Linked DNA regions of Bombyx mori. The protein of the gene in region 1 binds, or shares a complex with, the protein of each later gene. Links are inferred from orthologs where the notes say so. Each region holds a gene or a part of one and is shown in the gene's direction. Other genes may lie near its edges.

Region 1 (5,793 bases):
AACGTCATTTAAAATTTAAAATTTGGAAAAAATATCATAAAAAAAAACTTCTTCAACTATTTGAATGGAGTAAACTTAATTGAAGTTTAATTAAAAACATCAAATTGTTGATACTGATACCAAATAAAACGGACCTTTAATTACAGAGGTAAATATCGCTTAAACCAAATCGCCTCCTCGATATGTTTATATCGATCGAATTTCATCGAATTTTAGATCACAATGTCGCTAAAGAATTTTTACATTGACATTTATTAAAATAAAATAAAACCTTAAAGTGGTCGCAAAGTTATCTGTGTCATGTGGGTGTACAATAGTTTACAGCAGCATAATACAAGTGCAGCGTATCTGTCTGCGCAGACGAACACGACCATGACGGAGGAGGAGGCGGGGCTGGAAGGCGCGGCGGCGGACGATGCGGACGCGGAGTACGTGCGCGGCGTGTGCGAGCGTGACGTCACGGCGGGCGACGCGGCGCTGGCGCGGTACCGGCCGCTGCTGGCCGCGCTGCTCGGGGCCGCCGCTCCGCCCGCGCTGCACGCCGCCGCCGCGCTCGCACTCACTAGGTCCTACAGCGTGTCTACTCCTAGTTCCCGATAATAGTCTCAGTAGATTAATATTTTGTGAATTGGCCTCCATTGTTGATATATATAAAAACTAGCGACCCGCCCTCGCTTCGCTTCGGAAACTGTAATTTATTATTGATTTCTCCACTATTTAATGGATGTTATTACACATATAAACCTTCCTCTTCAATCACTATCTATTAAAAAAAACGCATCAAAATTCGTTGCGTAGTTTTAAAGATTAAAGCATACATAGGGACAAAGAAAGCGACTTTGTTTTATACTATGTAGTGATGAATTGCTGTTCATTAGTTTCGCTAAAACTCGAGAACAGCTGGACCGATTTGGCTAATTTTGGTCTTGAATTATTTGTGGAAGTCCAGAGAGAAGGTTTAAAAGGTGGATAAATATGAAAATGCTCGGAATGAAATAAAAATAACAAATTTGTCTTTCCTTTGATGTGTCCCCCGTCGGACGGATTCCTTTTGTTTGTTTTAAGTTTATTTTATACAAAAGATTAGGTCAGCTAGTTATTGATGTATATTTTCTTAAATTATTTTAAACTGACATATTTTTTAATATTTCTAATTCTCTCGTGTGGGGCTTACTACTTGTCACTACATACTTGTCACTGTCCATATGGCTAATGGCAACGTCAAGTACATATGAATATAATTTACAGATTCATGTTAGTCTCGAGTTCAGTGTGCGAAGATGGACTGCAACTAATGATTACGTTACTCAAAAGATCGAAAAACGTATCTTTGAGAACCAATTTGACAATTGCCTTCGCCGACCTCACTTTGAGATTCCCGAATCTTACGCAGCCGTGGACGCATCACATTTATCACATGTAAGTAAGAAACGATTTTATGACTGTGGCGGGTAGCCATCATACAACGCAAGATAATTGACAGATGCCTGAAAGTCGCTCGGTGGAAGATCTTCCCTTTGTCGTTAAGCCTCCCCACATGACGATCACATTTCGATAATAATTTATGTTTTTAAATATTACGTATGAAACTTTCTGACTCGAGGGCGCAATAGTTAAGGGCTCTAACTATTGCGCCTTTGAGTCAGAAAGTTGTTGCTTGGCCGAAGATTCGCCCGCCACGTCGGGCAAATATTCGTGTGACGAACAGATTTGTTTGCTCGTAGTCTGAATTTTTTATATATATCTATACATGTATATATTTAAACACACAACAACATGGGAAACCTATGTGTGATTGTAATGACTGTTTTTTTTTATCGCTTAGATGGGTTGACGAGCTCTCAGTCCACCTGGTGTTAGGTGGTTACTGGAGCCCATAGACATATACGACGCAAATGCGCCACCCACCTTGAGATATAAGTTCTAAGGTCTCAAGTATAGTTACAACAGCTGCCCCACCCTTCAAACCGAAACATTACAGCTTCACGGCAGGAATAAGCAGGGCGGTGGTACCTACCCGTGCGGACTCACAAGAGGTCCTCCCACCAGTTAAAACCAGCTTATATTTACGACACACGAAAACCGAAGAAAATACGAGTGTAAATGAGGCCATCAGCGTAAAAGTGGCCTAGTTACCATAGTTAGTATGGAGGCATTTAGGTTTGAATTTTCATGAATTTTAATTTCAGTAGGCAAAAAACAATACGCGCAAAAATAATGTTTACATAGCTATGTTATCTTTGGTACCACCAGTTTTCTCGCTGATTGCTTATTTATTATGTTCAGTCTAAGCGACGAGGAGCTAGAAGTCCGTCAGTGTGCAGTGAAGATGCTGTCGTTTCTGGTCCTGCACGAGATGGTCCGCGTGAAGGGACAGATAGCAGACATGGCGCTGTGCTGCGCGGACGCGGACGCTAAAGTGGCGAGTATGACGCGCCTCTTCTTCAAACAGCTTTCACAAAAGGGAAACGCCCTATACAACGTCATGCCCGATATTATATCAAGACTGAGCGATCCGGATTTGAATGTACCTGAAGAGCAATACAGAATTATTATGAAGTTAGTATTTTAGCTTTTCGAAAATAATTAATACGGTTTTTTTTTAGAATAATGTGAAAAAATGCCGAAAAAACAATAAAATGTGTTTTTTGTTTGTTTATAATATGAAAATGCAAAACATAGCCCTATAAACGGATAAAGGGAATTAAAAACCAAAAGAAGAACAGAAAATTCCCTCCTTGTGACATATTGTAATGGAAATTTAACTCTAAGAAGGGTAGGCGTCAAATAAGTGGCCAGTCGTAAAACTAATGCTAAACCCCTATTCACAATATAATTATAAGCGACTAGGCGTACTCGCCCGCTTCGCTGTGCATTTAAAATTAACATTATTATTTATTGTCATTATTATTAGGTAGTCCAACACTCATATAAATATTAGCCTATCCACTAAGTACATCTATTTTTTACATGGATACCAAGTTTCAAGTCAATCGGATGCACAGTTCAGTAGTTATAACGGAACATCCGTAAAAACCACTATAGATTTATATATTAGTATAGATAAGGGCAAGATGAAGAAGAATAATTAACACGCTTTTATTACCTTGACGGAGCGCATAGACATCATAACAGGAATGCCCTGACGCACCTTGAGACATGAGGTCTAAGTCCCAATTGAATATTATAACGGCGAGTTAACTGTCTGGGTTTGCGGATACTATGTAATTAATTAACCAAATTAATCGAGAAGCACATATTGTGTTGCCATTGTTGTTGTCATCGTGAGTTTGGTCTTTATAACGTGGTGCGTACACATTACGAAAAATTCCATTTCGTCTAGGCTGTGTTCTCATTACATTTATGTTTGCAGATATATAACTTCACTAATCCAAAAAGACAGACAAATGGAGGCACTAGTAGAGAAATTATGCCAAAGATTCAAATTATCAACAGAAGAAAGACAGTGGCGAGACTTAGCTTATTGTCTCTCTCTGTTTACATACAACGAAAGGTCACTAAGGAAACTCATTGAAAATCTCGACTGTTACAAAGATAAATTATATTGTCAAGGAGTGATGGAGTCTTTCAACACAATTATGAATAACGCTTCCAAAATGGCCAAGAACGACATTAAGGTGATTAATGAAAAACAACCGATACTTCCTATATTTCGAATCTATACTTAATATTATAAAGAGGAAAGATTTGTTTGTTTGTTTGTATTGAATAGGTTCCGAAACTACTGAACCGATTTGAAAAATTCTTTCACTACTTTTAAGCTACACTATTCCCGAGTGCCATAGGCTATAATAATCTTTTTTGAAAAAAATTAGGGATCCTTACTAAAACTTCAATAATGTAACCCAAGGTGTAAAAAAATTACCTAAAATTTTCTTTACATCGCGTGCCCTGCGAAAACCATTGATGATAGAATAAAATAATGTACTACGACTTTGTAGAATACATGATTACTTACAAAAAGTGTCGCGACAGCATATGTCTAACTATTATAGTTATGCCGCAATAAGTGTTCTTTTATTTAAAAAAATAAAACAACGTCAAATATCATTTAAATTTTTGTTAAAGATCCGAGTGGAGCCGGAGCGGGCCGCTAGTAGTAAATAAATAAATAAATAATTTTGTTTCAATATACCGCTTAGGCTTTGGTAACCGAACTGGGAGATAAAATAGAAGAAGGCTTTGCGGTTCGCGCTGAGGAAGGTAATTGTGAAGGAACCACTGAAGGCAGTGGCGACACTGACAAGAAGGCGACGGGTCCGCGCGCCACTCCCAGACGGCGGGCTGCGCCCCGAAGGAACCGCAGGAGATCTTCATCCAGTGCAGATGAGGTACTTTTATATTCATTGTTTTTTTTTCTTCCTACCTGTGCTGATAGCCTTGAGAGGCTATTTCAGCTTCGCCTTGACGTGTAAGTAAGCTCACGGGGCTCAAACCGGGAGTGTTGCTAACACTGGCCCTAGCAAGAGCAGTGCTTCGCAGAATCTACCACCGAGAAGATCCGGCGAGAAACTCAGTGGGCTGTGTCTATGGATTTATTTACTCGTCGAGCCCTTCGTCGCAAGTGATGGGTTCGGCGAAGACGGTGACTGTTGCTTGAGGTACCTAAAAGCAACATTAATGGATCGGGAAGATCCGTAATGTCGTGTTTAGGGCGACGTCGACTGTTTACCATTCGGTCCACAGGATCGGGTATTTATTCATTGTGTTATTGCAATATCTGACCATTTCTTTCGAAATTTTGATATAACCAAAAATTGTTGCCTCATTGTTTGAATCATAGCGCCCTTGGGAAATTCATTAAATTCTCATGTACGTTTTCTGTTTTCGTATTATCAGAACTAATTTAACGCTATGAATCACTTAATTTTAAAGAAATAATTAAATTTCAATGGCACTTCTTAACGCAATTTCACATTGCAGTACTGATTCAGGCTTCCTTATAAAAAAAATTACAATTATTGCCGCGTCATTATTAAACTATTTCATTAGGTATCATTTATTGAATTAGGTTGTAATCGGGACTACATAATTTTTTTTACGTGATTTGTTGAAAACATTCAAAGGCTCGTGTTTTTATTTTGTAGAATGAACCTCCCAGCAACGTCGAAACCCCAGTGTCGACTAGAAAATCTAATCGGAAAGCAGCAAATAAACAAAAGATTGTAAATGATTCAGAAGATTCAGGTTAGTCATTAATTATTTATGCTTATTTACTATCGTTCTAATTTTTTATGAACAATAAAACAAACAATAACTAGAAAACTAAGGCTCGTAATATCAATAGTATTTTAAACTAAAATCGAAGGCTTAAACAGTTACTGAAGATCAACTCGTAATTTCAATCATAGTTAAACTCTCACCTTAGGAGTTTAAATAATCTCAAAGTTTACACGGTAATTTTTTTCCTACCTGAGCTGATAGCCTTAGAAGGCTATGCCAGCGTCGCCGAATGAGTAGCTGAGCTCACAGGGCTCTAACCTAACACTAGCCCTAGCAAGAGCAGTGTTTCGTAGAATTTACCACCGGATCGGAAACGCGACCCACTGAGAAGACCCGGCGAGAAACTCAGTGGGCTGTGTCTGTGGGTTAATTTACTCGTCGAAGGGTTCAAAGGGAACGATTACCGGTGCTTGAGGTACCTACCTAAAAGCTCCGATACTAGATCGCGAAGATCCGCAATGACGTGCTTAGTGCGACGTCGACTGCTTAATATTCGGTCCGCAGGATCGGGTATGTAGTTACCGGCGGCCACGACCAGAAGGATTGCGT
Region 2 (6,275 bases), on another chromosome or scaffold:
CAAAGAGAAGAATCTGTGTCGTTACAAAAGGAGCTTGACTCTCTAATTGATGATCTTGAGTAATAACATTAGTGAAATAACGTAATACCTAAAATAATACTAGCTTACTACTTATTAAGTATTAATAATTACAGATGTTATAATAATACCGATAATGCCTAGCTTTCTAATAACGTTATTGCAAAGTTATTATTTGTTTTGAGCCACCGTTGCAATAATGTTTTCATGTGTGAATTACTCTTTAAGCATTATGACTTTAAATTTTAATAATATAGTAATTATAAGATGTTGATCGAATATGAACTATTTAAAACTTCTTTTTCTGAAACGTTATATGATTTCAAATTATAATAATCAACTCAGTTGTACTTACTGAAAATTTAACATATCAGAATGAGATTTAAATATTTTTATACAATTTATTTTGTGATATGTTTTCATAAAAAAAAGTTACTTCAAAGGATGTGCATTATTACTTTCTAGCAGTTAGAATAGAAACAAACGAATTGCCTTTAATTTAGAAATGCAAATGCATAACAGAAAATTAAGACATTGTAAGTAAGAGCTTATTTCAATATTTTTTTAAACGGGCTCTAAGTACAACCTAGAAGCAGCTGTGCAAAAAGTTCGTTTTTCGTCGCAAGGAGTATTTCGTCGCTATACGCTAACGTGACAATTTGTATATTTCAACTCCTATTAAAAATCATGATATGGAACTTTTTCCAAAAAGTTTCGAGTTATTTATTACAAAGTCGAATTTCATTTTCTCTACTAGTGTTATTAATAGTTTATAATAAATATTAATTAAAAGAAATTTACAAAATCATTCGATAACCTAACTGCTTTTTTTGTATGCCACTAAATTTAAATATTTGCATCATTCATTTTATAGGATTTGTAAATATTAATTTAATATTAATACAGACTTCCTAAACTTATGTATACAAAAAAAATCAATAAATTCTTAAATTGCATACTGTGAGACCGTTTTCTTTATCATTTGACTTTTTACTAATGTAGATATTAAGTAAGGTTTTGTACTATATAATTACTGAAACCCGTAGACACGTGAATCTTGAAATTTAAAAGAATAAGTATTTTCACTATATTATAATATTGGTTGTACTGTTTTTCAAAACCAGAGCATGACTTTTTTTATTTATTACTTAGATGAGTGGACGAGTTCACAGTCCACCTGTTGTTAAGTCGTTACTGGAGTTCATAGATCTACAACGTAAAGGCCGCCACCCCACCTTGAGATATGAATTCTAAGGTATCAGTATATTTACAACGGCTGCCTCACCCTTCAAACCGAAACGCATTACTGCTTTACGGCAGAAATAGGCGGGGTAGTGATACCTACAAGTGCGGACTCGCAAGAGGTCCTACTACCAGTAATTACGCAAATTATAATTTTGCTGGTTTGATTTTTATTACATGATGTTATTCCTTAATCGTGGAAGTCAATCGTGAACATTAATGTATTAATACGTATTTCATTAGAAAAATTGGTACCCGCCTGTGGTATTCGAACACCGTTGCATCACTAGATACGAATGCACCGAACGTCTTATCCTTTAGGCAGCGACGTCTTCAAAAGTTACATGTTAAATGGCAAAGTAAACAAGCTGCGGATTTTTCGCACACCTTACTACCAATTCTTGTTATATAATTTTTATTGAGGTCCATGTAAACATTGAAAATATTTCAGGATTTTACCAAGGCATATTTATTTCATTTCTCCTCATTTCGCCATGCCTTTTTTTTAAATTGCTTAGCTGAGTAGACGATCTCCTGGCCCACCTGGTGTTAAGTGATTACCGAAGCCCATAGACAACAACACCGTCAATGCCGCTGCCCATCTTGAGACAAATTCTAATTCTCACGTTTTTATAGTCCAACGGCTGCCCCACACTTCAAACCGAAAGGCGTTATTGCTCGCTTGATACGACTATACTGGACCTTTAGACCACGACGACGTCAATTTCATTTCATGTAATCCCATAATAAATTTCAGATAAAATAACTTAATTGCACTCGCTCCGTTTTACTTGAAACGGTGTTATCACAGATTAAAATATATTGTTGCAAAACCCGAGTCGCGCTAATTACAATTTGAAGATAGTCTTATGCAAACACCGAAAAACATCTTTCAGATCGTCAGTGTACCGAGCAATGACGCCCCTATGTGGAGGTATTTTCCATTCGGTGTTTTATTTCCTAAATACTTTTCAAAAACCGATATGGATTTGATTTCTGAAACCAACAAAGATGCGGCTGTATGATAAAATCCTTTCGCCTCTTCTAACAAAAAGCTGCTCCTTTGACTTTGACACTCAAATTTGATTACTCAAATTTAAATCACAAAACAACAACGGTCGCCTATAAGCCTGGCAAAATATCAAATATTTTGTCGTTGGTATCTAGTTTTTTTGATAAGTACGTCATTTTATAATAAAATATAAATGCAGTGCTAGGATTTCGTGTATTGAGTATCATAAATAAAAATGGCTCCGACGGATGCTGAGATACCGACCACTGTACTGTCTTCTAGACCAAACCCGCGAAACAATCCGATAATGTTCAAAATATTTCAAAACGTCCAATTTAATGTTGTACAACACAAGAAATATGTTAAAGAAATGAGTAAACTATATAGAAAGGTAAACTGGCTGCTAGTCTTTAATTAGTGAATAATGTTTTTGTTTTATTCGTCTTCTGTTCTCACTGTTCATAAACACCGGCACAAAATATTTATTTTGTCATTTTCAACTATAACCGTATTAATTACTATTATTATTATTATTAATACAAGGTATTTAAGCATTTGTTCAGTTGTTATAATTTTTCTGTATGCACCTGTTTTGAATTGCAATCCAAATTGCTATATTAAATATTTAAACTTATAATTTATATGGTTGTTATTTGTTTTGTGCATCAATAAAGGAAATTATAAAATTTATAAAATAAAAGTGGTCATATGAGTGGAGTGGAATTTGTGAAAGTATCAACTGGGATCAATATTGCTCTCAAAATTCTTTTTGACTAATCCATCAAGATCAGGTGTCAATGTAATTGCGGCCTGCTAATGGATGAAATATATAAATTCTAGCAAAGGCTAAGTTTTTAAAGTATCACAGTATTATGAAGCAAATATTTTATTGGGTGGAGAATTTTGAATGAAAAAACAACATAAAAGAATAGACATTTAATTTTACTGGTGAGATGAAAATTGTATGCCTGCAACATTCAGATTCTGATGTCTATCAGCTCTGAAAACTATTTGACACAAAGTGGCTGGTCAGCTCGTTCAAATTAAGTACTATGATGTTCTCGATTTATTTCATTGCAATCTATTCATACTGATTATTTCTAACTTTCTTAAAATAAACATTAGAAGTTGTAACTTTATTAAAACGTTTACAGTTAGATGAAGAATCATTCCGTGAAAGTTTCAAAAATGCCCTTATGTATCTGTTTACTTTTGGGGATACAAGTGCTAATGTTGATCGTGTAATACAGTTTGTGGCTACATTTTGTACTTCTCTAAATGATGAAGAGGAATTCTTGCTGTTTATCTTTGAAGTAATATTTGATGTAAGTATTGATATTTACTTAAGTAATTTGCCCAATTTAAAGATAGAGTCTAGAACTTTTTTCTGGTACTTTTTTAAATGTTTTAATCACATCATGATAGAGTGAAATAGTGTGTATCAATCAGCTGTTGTTTTTAAAAATAGTTCAAGAAGTATCTATTGATGTGCCTCTGGAAAACATACAGCATTGTATTATGAAGAAGCCGTGTGTACTTAGCTTAAGTTCCTTGTCTATACCGTTCCTTGTCTATACTCAACCATAGACTGTCAATGTAGTTCCATCTTTAGCCGCCAGGCGTGGCCAGCAAGTATAAGAGAGCGCAGCCGTCTTTCGTCCTCATAGCGTTGTATACTTTCGTAGCGTGAGGTCGAAAAATCTTAAAATATTTATTCGATCTGTTACTGATTGTAAAAAATATTCCTTTTGAGCTTCAAAGAGTGTTACTTTGCAATCACTACAAGTGTTAGGTACCAGTCCTATCGTCAGGCACCATGAATCACGCATCATCTGTTGGGGGTGATGTCGTTTCAAATTTAACAACGTCCGAGAGGGAAGGTATACAGGAGGAACGCGATGGGGACACCTCGCGGTCGAGCTGTTCGACGTCAAGCGAAGAAGAACATGAGGAGCCTCTCCGTAAGAAACATCGGGATTCAAAGGTAACGGTCGATCTCCGAATCGACGCGTTATCCCACCAGGTCAGTGCCCTTACAAATTTAATAATGCATCAACAGTGTGCAACAAGTGATAGCAACGAAAATTGTTGCGAACCTATTGTTGAACACGTTAATCACGTTGATACGGAATACTTGACAAATCCTTCAACAACAGAGCCAAAATCACTGGCGCTAGGTATTTGTAAGACAGACTTCGATGACAAAAAATTCATCAAACCTGCTGACGACAACAGATTGAAACAACTAATTGATCTCCAACATTTTAACTCGCCTAATTGGCAACATGTTCATTATAATAAAGTGCTAAAGGAGATGATCGCGCAACCGGGCTTTTGCAATCTAAAGATCAACGACGAATTGTGTTGTCTTAATAAAGAAAAAGATTACCTAGCACCCACAGAGCAATTCATAGCTGCACTGACTAATGCTTTGTTGTACCAAAGGGAAATATTACAATCGGGGTTACAAGGGATCGTTGACTGGGCCCATAAAAATCCAACAGAATTAAATTCCGATCATCTTTTTAATAAAATTACTGAAAACTTTGGTATATCATCGCCATTGTACAAATTATCCAAACAAACGCTGCAGATTGTATGCGGAAAAAGGGCCGAATGCATAGGAATAAGACGTCAGAGGTTAATTTCTGGCATTTCTGATAAAAACATTCAAACTGCTGTTTCCAACGTACCACCCAGCGAAGAATTTTTGTTCGATAATAGTAAATTAAAATCACTAATTCAGGCCCTCGGGGGGCCACATTTCTGGTTATCACAACCTCAGGCAAAAGGCAGGCCAAACCTTAAAAGAAAATTTAATGAGCCTACACCGCCTACATCTAGACCAAACACTCGACAAAGAAACAATTATAGTCAAGACAATGACAAGAAACAACATACAAAACAGAATTACATCAAAAACAAAGATAATAACAAGAAACAAAATTCCTTTCGCAACAATACAACTAAGAAAAAATGACTGTCTGACACAATTCAGAGGGGGGCAGTTAAAGAGGTTCAAACACCGATGGCAGACACTGGGCGCCACCAAATTTGTAATGTCAACAATATCTGGTTCCCGAATACCATTATTCAAAAAACCCCCTCTGATCATGCCGCTAAACAAGGCAATCAAACAATATGCCACAAATTCATCACCTGCAATGTCTCAAGTGATTCAGGACCTTGTAAATCAACATGTACTGCAACCTGTTCTCAAAAAAACACCCAGTTTTATGTCCAAGCTGTTTCTGCGAAAGAAAAGCGACGGATCGATGCGTCCGATTCTCGATCTTCGAGAGTTGAACAAGTTTGTAAAGACAAAACGCTTTCAACTGATCTCTCACACTGTAGTACCAGATTTTCTCCAACCAGAGGACTGGATGATAAAACTGGACATTTCTCAGGCATACTTTCACGTACCGATCAAAAAATCTCATCAAATCTTCCTAAGAATCAGTTACCAAGGTCAATTATACGAAATGACTTGCCTACCCTTCGGTCTGGCTTCAGCGCCACACCTTTTTGCTTCCATAACATGCTGGGTCGCAGAGACCCTGCGTGCAAAGGGAACTCGAGTGCTAGTCTACCTAGACGACTTCCTTTTGGTCCACCAGGACAAATCCAAGTTAAAACTTCAGGCTGCAGAAGCTGTGAAGCTCTTGGATTATCTGGGCTGGCATGTCAATTTCCAAAAATCGATTATGACACCGACTCAAGATTTAGAATACCTAGGGATTCGATGGCAAACAGCAAGAAATACAATGTCTTTACCAGAAAGAAAAATAGCCAATCTCAACAACACCCTGGATCAAACTCTTCGACAGAGTTGCATCAAGCTACGCCAACTACAAAGCCTCCTAGGTCAGTTAAATTTTGCGAATTTCGTCATACACAAGATTACACTGCCGAAAGATGCAAATCTTCTTGCGAAGTTTCAACAAAAATCGACCCCATCAAAAACAGACCATCCTGCAACGTGTTTACAACGAAATGCGGTGGT

What was found.
Region 2: condensin complex subunit 1 (region 1) and condensin complex subunit 3 share a complex: the UniProt entries of both Homo sapiens proteins name them as parts of the condensin complex. The link is inferred for Bombyx mori from reciprocal best matches to the Homo sapiens genes NCAPD2 and NCAPG.

What each region holds. Positions count from the first base shown.
Region 1 is NC_085114.1:10,431,156-10,436,948, forward strand, and holds part of condensin complex subunit 1, read left to right. Parts: intron 1-360; coding exon 361-566; intron 567-1,248; coding exon 1,249-1,419; intron 1,420-2,286; coding exon 2,287-2,559; intron 2,560-3,373; coding exon 3,374-3,638; intron 3,639-4,163; coding exon 4,164-4,352; intron 4,353-5,007; exon of another isoform or gene 5,008-5,108; coding exon 5,109-5,208; exon of another isoform or gene 5,209-5,793. UniProt on the Homo sapiens protein: Regulatory subunit of the condensin complex, a complex required for conversion of interphase chromatin into mitotic-like condense chromosomes.
Region 2 is NC_085122.1:6,234,309-6,240,583, reverse strand, and holds the start of condensin complex subunit 3, read left to right. Parts: upstream 1-2,320; 5' UTR 2,321-2,507; coding exon 2,508-2,663; intron 2,664-3,426; coding exon 3,427-3,597; intron 3,598-6,275. Other genes in the region: centromere-associated protein E, read left to right, coding at 1-63. UniProt on the Homo sapiens protein: Regulatory subunit of the condensin complex, a complex required for conversion of interphase chromatin into mitotic-like condense chromosomes.